Coturnix japonica: one gene and its partner. The protein of the gene in region 2 purifies or fractionates together with the protein of the main gene of each other region. This does not show direct contact. Links are inferred from orthologs where the notes say so. Each region holds a gene or a part of one and is shown on either strand. Other genes may lie near its edges.

Region 1 (3,620 bases), on a different chromosome or scaffold from region 2:
TAACGTGATTCTTTAAGAACCTGCAGAACTCAGCTCGGTAGCAACCAGTTTCATTTATAACTCATTTATGATATAGGGAAATAAATTTATGTAATAAACATATCATGACTATAAGATATATGAGCCCCGATCCAAAAGTAATGCCTCTTATTTTATTTTGTTGGCCCGGGAGGTCAGAGGCAGATGTTAGTGGTATGGTAGTAGAAGTTGAACCTTCCCACCAATGTTCCATTACATTTTGTTGCCATGTGACAGATGGCAGCAGAGGGGCAGTTTGACAGAATAGCATCTGACATGGAAGTGCATACAAAGCAATGGTGCATCACTGATTTCTCCCATGCAGAAACAATGGCACCCACTGACATTCACTGAAGCTTGCCAGAGTTATGATGACCAAACAGCACATGTGAACACAGTGAGGCAGAGGGTGGTGTGTTTCAGTAGTGGGGGCAGCAGATCACCTCCACTGATGTTTAAGAGCATGGCATGCAGGCTGTCCATTGCTGGCAAAAATGTATAGCTGATGGCGGTGACTGGCTGAAAAACTGTTTTGTAGCTGAGAATTTGTTCTGTCAAATAGCATTGTTGGGAACTGTGTAGTTTCCATGGAAATAAATAGGTGTTAACTTCAGAGCAACTTATGTATAAAGAGGTACATGAAAATGAATTTTACTTGAAATTAACTACATATATATTCCTTAAAACAAGACAAAAAAAACCCTGAAACCTCTCCATAAATCTTCATACCAGTGCCTATAGGGCCTATAGAGCCTCTATCTCTTAAAGAGACTCAAAATTTGACCCGAGAAGTATGATCAAACTTCAAAGTAGAGCTTGCTTTGAGAAAGAGATGGAATAGAGACCTCTAGAGATCCCCTCTACCTAGATAAGTCCATGGCACCCAAGCCAAAATGTATGTCAGAAAAGAGCAGTGAGAAGTCTTACACTAAAACAGGGGGTGAAGTTCACAGCTCTTTGAGAGTGAACCCTTAGAAGTAAACAGAAAGAAAAATTCCAGAAGATTCTGCAGTTGTTTGCTGGAGAAGTTGCATCTTCTACTCGTCAGATTTACTGCGGGTGAGATGCCTATACCTAGCAGGTGGATATGAATAAGTCTGAAATCCCTGGAATGACAGGGATTCATTGTCTCTTGAAAGTCTAAGTCCTGCAATTTCCACATGCAGACATAATAGATTAAAAAACTTTGGCATCTGGGGAGCTGCAGATATTTCAATCAGTTGTAAAAATGTACCTTTAGCCTCTCCACACAGAGAGCTTCTTTTGCTGTACAGAACACGTCATCTATTTGTTTGCAATACCTGCACTTTAACTCAAGAGACTGGTCTTCATATAAGACGTCTGCATACGCTCACTTCTTTCACTTCAAATTTCATTGCAACTGTTCCCATGCTGGCATTCCTTTGCATAATTTTGAAAGATGCAGGCAAGGATCACTGTACCTTCAGCTGATACGAACTGTTGTTAACAGGAAAGTATCAGCTTACACTGAATGGGGACCTGCCTGTTAGATTTTAACCTATCTACTGTAAAATGTGCAATCAAATTGGCAATTTAAAATTAATTTTCCTCTTCCTCTGAATTACAACATAAGATAGATAGCCTCACTGTCAGACTAAGAAGGTTTATCCCACTGCATTTTAAAGTATGGAATAAAATCTAAATGAGACTACAACACATGGTTCCCTTCATGATACATTTGCTGTAACGTGTCAACTCTCTTTGAAATGACAAATGATGCCTACATAGGCGTTTAAAAAATTGCTTACAAGGACTAAGAAGCAAACCTGTTAATCAGAATCTGAAAGCATTCAGTACATTCTGAGTTTGATTTTGTTCCCAGACAAAGCCTGCACCTTACAGTGAAGTCCAAACTAAAGGCAATGTTTTTTTGTTGCTCCAATATCTTACATTTTTCAAGTGCATCCATCGCAGCTCCCATTTCTGCTTGTTGAATACTATGAAAGTCAAACAAAAACATGTTAAATATGATTTAACTTGTACAGAATAAACTGAAGTATCTAGTAATGTTATTACAAGACAGAGTTTTATTACAAAACTCTTTGGATAACCAGAAATTTCCAGAGTATATATTATCCTTTCTATGATTATGAGAGCAATAGCACGACAGTTCCAATAGAACACTTTAAAACTTAGATCAATAATGTTAACAAAATAATCTACTTTATCCTTTGCTCAAGTTTTTCAGCTGTGACCAAAAAAAAGGAACAAAATCAGAGGCATGAACTCTCAGAAGCCAAAGATATTTTTATAAACACTACCAGTTTTAGTAGCACAAAATAAGATGATTTACTTTGTGTGTGTGGTTGTAAACTGTGTAATTTTAGAAGATATTCCAAAATACCTAAAGTGATAACATTTGATGAAAATTAAGAATTTTGCACTCCAACTTTGCCAGCCTATACTGAACAATAATCTAGCATTAAAGCCAAAGATGAAGTTATTATTTCCAGCAGTTTGTTCTGCAGTTTCCACTCTGAGAGCAGCAAATAGGAGATTATTGCTGGCCACCTGGTTCTGAAGTTCACAAAAAAATGAAGCTTAAGACCCAGAAGTACACCAACATTCAGGTCTTACGGTACTTCTGATGCAGAAACTCAGAATGACCCAAAGAATGCCCCACAGTTTTAGTTTCTAAGGCTAACCAGACTATTACCAAACTTCATCATGGTGAGTCATTCTGGACATTGTCACATACAGATAAAAGTTTAACTGCATGAGATTAATTTTTTCCACTATACCTTGGGCCTTTACCACATCCTATTCTTTCCCCTTTGAAATAGACAGCTACTGTGTACGTCCTGGCATGAGATGGTCCCACTGTCTGCAGAGTCCTGAAATGAGAGACATGATTTATTCAGACAGGAAGTATTAAAAAGCAGAATCTGTCAGTGGCACATACATCACCAAGCTTTCAGTCCGGTAAATACATTTAGTGGAACTAATGCATAGCATGGAGTTGAAGGATGGCTTTATAAACTACATTAACCCACAGATCCCCCATATGGTGCGTGTGCAACAAAGAGAAGTAATTTACATAAAATGCATCTCATTCATATCGAATGTACTTATTCTTCAACATTTAGACAGGAGCACTCTGTGAAAATTAAAACTTTCACCTATCGGAAAAAACACACACTATGAACAAAGCGCTGAAACACTGAATACACTTGGAATAAAATCACTTGAATTACATGAATCTGTGAAATTGCAAATAAGCACACCAATATGATTGTGCACTCTATAATTTTAATCACAGAGAGTTGTTCATCTGGCGAGGACTTAATGCAGGACACGGTAACTCACTACACCATGAACTGTCACAGTACTTTTCCATCAGCTTTGAAAAGTTAGAGTTTCTGTCACAAAACAAACTTCCCTTTTGAACTAGGAATGTCTAGGACATGCATCAACAACCACCTACAGGGGAAAAAGATAATTCCCCAGACATGCAATGAATTTGCTTCTTCTGCTGTCTCTTCCTTCTGTCCCAAATCTCTCCCTGCTGTCAGTTTGAGTTCTGTCCATTACCTTGTTTCTTTTTGGAAGAAGCAACAATTTCACATCAATTTTTTAAGCAC
Region 2 (3,824 bases):
AGAACATATGCAATAGATTAGATAAATACAGGACTTATTTCTGCCTGGTAACATTCAAAGGTTAAGCAATACCTCAGAGTAAATCCACTATTCAGAATTCATATTCGACAATGCTGATTTTATAATATAGCCTAAACAACCCATAAACACTAGGAAAAACCAACATACTTATGGTCTTTCTCACTCTCCATGCACACATCCACTATCTGCAGGATATTGTGGTTGGCGCTCAGCTCCAAGTTCCCTACGTTGATCTGAACGTAGTCCTGCAGGAAGTCCTCAGCGAGCTGGCGCACTTCTTTGGGCCAGGTGGCACTCCACATTAGAGTCTGCCTGTCAGGCTAAGAGAAAAGGAAAAAGGTTTAAGGTTGTGGACTTTGGATGGGAAGCTGAAGGAGGCTGTTTTTTTTGTTTTTTTTTTTTTTACAAGGTTCACACACCCTGATCTGGTCAACAATTTTGCGAATTTGGGGTTCGAAGCCCATGTCCAACATCCTATCTGCTTCATCCAGCACAAGGTATGTACACCGACGAAGGTTGGTCTTTCCTGCCTCAAGGAAGTCAATCAAGCGACCTGGTGTAGCAATGCAGATCTCCACACCTTTGAAACAGAAGGAGGAAAAAAGAATAAGGCTCTTCATTTGAATGTCAATTGGTATTTTTAGTCAGAATGAATCACCTTCTAGAGCAAAACCATTTAAATAAGATAAAAAAGCACCACCCTCATCCATATCCAAGATTGAGTCATTTCAGTAGAAGCCCTAGTTTCTTTTAATAATTCATTTTTTTTCCCATTCTGAAGTTACTGTTGCAGTGCCATTAGAACAATAAATGCAGTACAGAAGCTAAAAGCTTACTGTCAGAAAACACCAGCTAAGAGCACAGAACAACAGCGGCCCCAAAATAAGCTTCTACGCAACCCTGATGCCCTTTCATCCACGATTATACAATCTAGAGCTCTCTAGGAAAAATAATAGTGAGCTACAACTAAACTCAACCTGCTTAACAAGCATCAGTGTATCCCTTGCCGCACAAGTCAAATCAGTTTTGCTTCTACTTTTGTCCTTTTAATTTTAAGTCACGGAAAGTTAAAGCATGGCTTTTAATACTGAATAATTATGCTATAATTGTGAATCACCAAGCCCATGACTGTTAGCACCAAAACAGAATTCAAGTATTCACAAAGAAGCATCAAGTATGTTTATACATTCCTTAAAATGAAGGACCCCTTTCCACCAACCTCCCAGCCTCGGAGGCGAGTTCCTTGGTATCACAGAAATACCCATAAATGTTAAGTTAAGCCAAGAAGTGAATCAAAGAAAAAGAACAAACAAAAAGCAGCACAAAACCCCAAGACTTTCATAGATGCTTCAGTTTCAGATGAACAGTATGCTGTGGCAGCCCTGATTCTTGTTTGTGTCAACTTGGGCTCCTTGAAGCTGATTAATCTGACAAAGCTCATGCAAGAATCAGCCTATTAATGGAGTCATAGGTTTGCTAAAGACACTGAAAAAACCGGCGCTCTATTGTCAGTGATGTATTCCTCCCAAAGCAAATTCACCAGATATCCAGAAAAGCAAAACTGAGTCAAAAGTGTGTTCTATGAACTCTATTCAACAATCTTTGCAGCAGTAAATACTAAGTAATGCTCCAAAGACACTCTTATCTGCCCATGTTCTATAACCAACAAGGTAAAATTTCTGCTTCCGAAAAAACAAGTTGACCCCTTCACCGTCTTCTCATCTAATACTGTCTCACCCACTGATGATGCTGCTTCTGAACAGGAGTGCACTGCCGTTCTATTGAACGGAACTATCCCACAGCCTTCTACCACACAATTTTATCCTGATACTGCAGTGTTCAATAATAACTTTTCACACCACAGCACTAAGTAAAGATTTGTGATTTCTTGAGCAGATCTGAGCATGTGAGTTTCATCTTACATCTTCTCACAGAATTACACCCATTTTTTTTTAGCCTAGAGAAGGTTAAACCCTCAGAACATTCCTGCCTTTGAAATGACACGCAGATAGCCCCTGATACAAGGCTAAATCGCCAGAGTGCTACTATTGTTGCTGCAGAAACATGGCACCTTCTTATTCTAAACTACATCCCTTTACTATGTTAAGAAAGGCAATTGCAGAACTTTATGGAGGTGCCATGAGCAGTGAGCTTAATCCTTAAGAACAAGTTCCAATGACCTTCACAAGTCCAAAGATAAATCATAAAGAATGTCTAATATCCAAATAAGTCATTACACAACAGAGAATTACCACATGCGCTATCATTCCAAGGGGGAGAAGAGACAGCTACTCAACCACCAATACCTCTTCAAACAGGCTTTAAAATTGCTTCCAAATTCACCACTCTGGAAATTTGCAACCACACATTTTAAAATCTAAATTAAATTACCTCTTTCTAGATCTCTGATCTGGGGACCTTTGGGTGCTCCTCCATAAATGCAGGTACTCTTCAGCCTTGAACATTTGCCATAATCATCAGCAACCTGCTGCACTTGCTGGGCCAACTCCCTGGTAGGTGCAAGAACCAGGCACTGCAGAAGGAATCAATTCAGGTTAGCCAAGCTGTAGACACAGCCCTAACTCAAGGACTCTACTCAAATACCATAAGCAAAGCAAGACCATCTGCTCTCTATTAGCTAAAACATAGAAATATCTTTAGATTATGTCAGCAATCGCACAGAATTTCAACTAATGAGTGGGATGTTCACACTGTGATTGTAAACGTGCTCTACTTGCTATTCTGATATATCAATTAAAGCACACATCTCATTAATGTTGCCACATCATACAGATGAAAGAAGAGATTTGACAAGCACTTACAATTGGGCCATCCCCTCTCTCCAAGTATGGCTGGTGGTTGATGTGAACAATTGCAGGCAACAGGTACTGAAACAAAAAAATTTTATGTCAAGACAGAGGACTTAAATATTCAATGCTAATGACCACTTGCTGTGACAACTGGGCCATGAGAAAAGCCCACATAACCTAACATCCCTTCAAGAGCCACTACATGTTTCAGAGAGAGGAATAAATCTCATCTGTATTAACATTTACTAAACCATACTTGTATTCATTCAAAAGATGAGATTTCCAGAGCTGCTGGATATAGCCACCTCATCTGCTTTTGGCACAGGCGAAAAACTTGGCTGCTAAGTGCCTCTGAAGAAAAGGCACATTTATATTTGGAGCCTAAATTAGCAGAACTGAGTCATGCTGGCTCTAAACAATGCTTTTCATAATGAAGGAAATATCTTCTTGACCAGTGCAGATAAGATTAATATATTAATGAAGACTCAACCATCATTTCTTTGGACTTGCACATTTAGTAAGACAAATACACTATAAAGCACATACTATTTCTTAATCCACACCATAAGCATGGACAAAATAGAAGCATTTCAACATCAAAAGAGAACCATGCAAAAAACACTTCTGTGAACAAGACAGGGTAGATGAGCTGAGGCTCACCCATGATACAATAAAGAAGGCTTTAAAAATATGCAATCACCTCACTTTATGCCTATAGTACTAAGACCAAACACTAGTAACAAGCAGCCAAGGGTAATTTCCACAAGGCAACAATGAAAGTAAGCATGGAGATGAAAGGGAAGAATACGTACTGCGAGTGTCTTCCCAGAGCCAGTCTGAGCAATGCCCACCATATCACGACCACTGAGAGCAAGTGGAAAGCCTTGGCACTGAATTGGAGTGGGTTCTGTGAAATTCTGGTCCATCAGTGCATCCATCACATACTCTAAACATTTAAGGAAGGAATAAATTTATTTGAGGACAACTGAGGCT

Evidence for each region.
Region 1: the proteins of DDX17 (region 2) and DROSHA purify together in Homo sapiens (co-immunoprecipitation; 3 studies listed by IntAct, with this or other methods). This does not show direct contact. The link is inferred for Coturnix japonica from reciprocal best matches to the Homo sapiens genes DDX17 and DROSHA.

What each region holds. Positions count from the first base shown.
Region 1 is NC_029517.1:60,505,480-60,509,099, forward strand, and holds part of DROSHA (ribonuclease 3), read right to left. Parts: intron 2,874-3,620; coding exon 2,781-2,873; intron 1,977-2,780; coding exon 1,930-1,976; intron 1-1,929. UniProt on the Homo sapiens protein: Ribonuclease III double-stranded (ds) RNA-specific endoribonuclease that is involved in the initial step of microRNA (miRNA) biogenesis.
Region 2 is NC_029516.1:46,430,895-46,434,718, reverse strand, and holds part of DDX17 (probable ATP-dependent RNA helicase DDX17), read right to left. Parts: intron 3,778-3,824; coding exon 3,644-3,777; intron 2,910-3,643; coding exon 2,844-2,909; intron 2,555-2,843; coding exon 2,413-2,554; intron 602-2,412; coding exon 441-601; intron 342-440; coding exon 169-341; intron 1-168. UniProt on the Homo sapiens protein: As an RNA helicase, unwinds RNA and alters RNA structures through ATP binding and hydrolysis.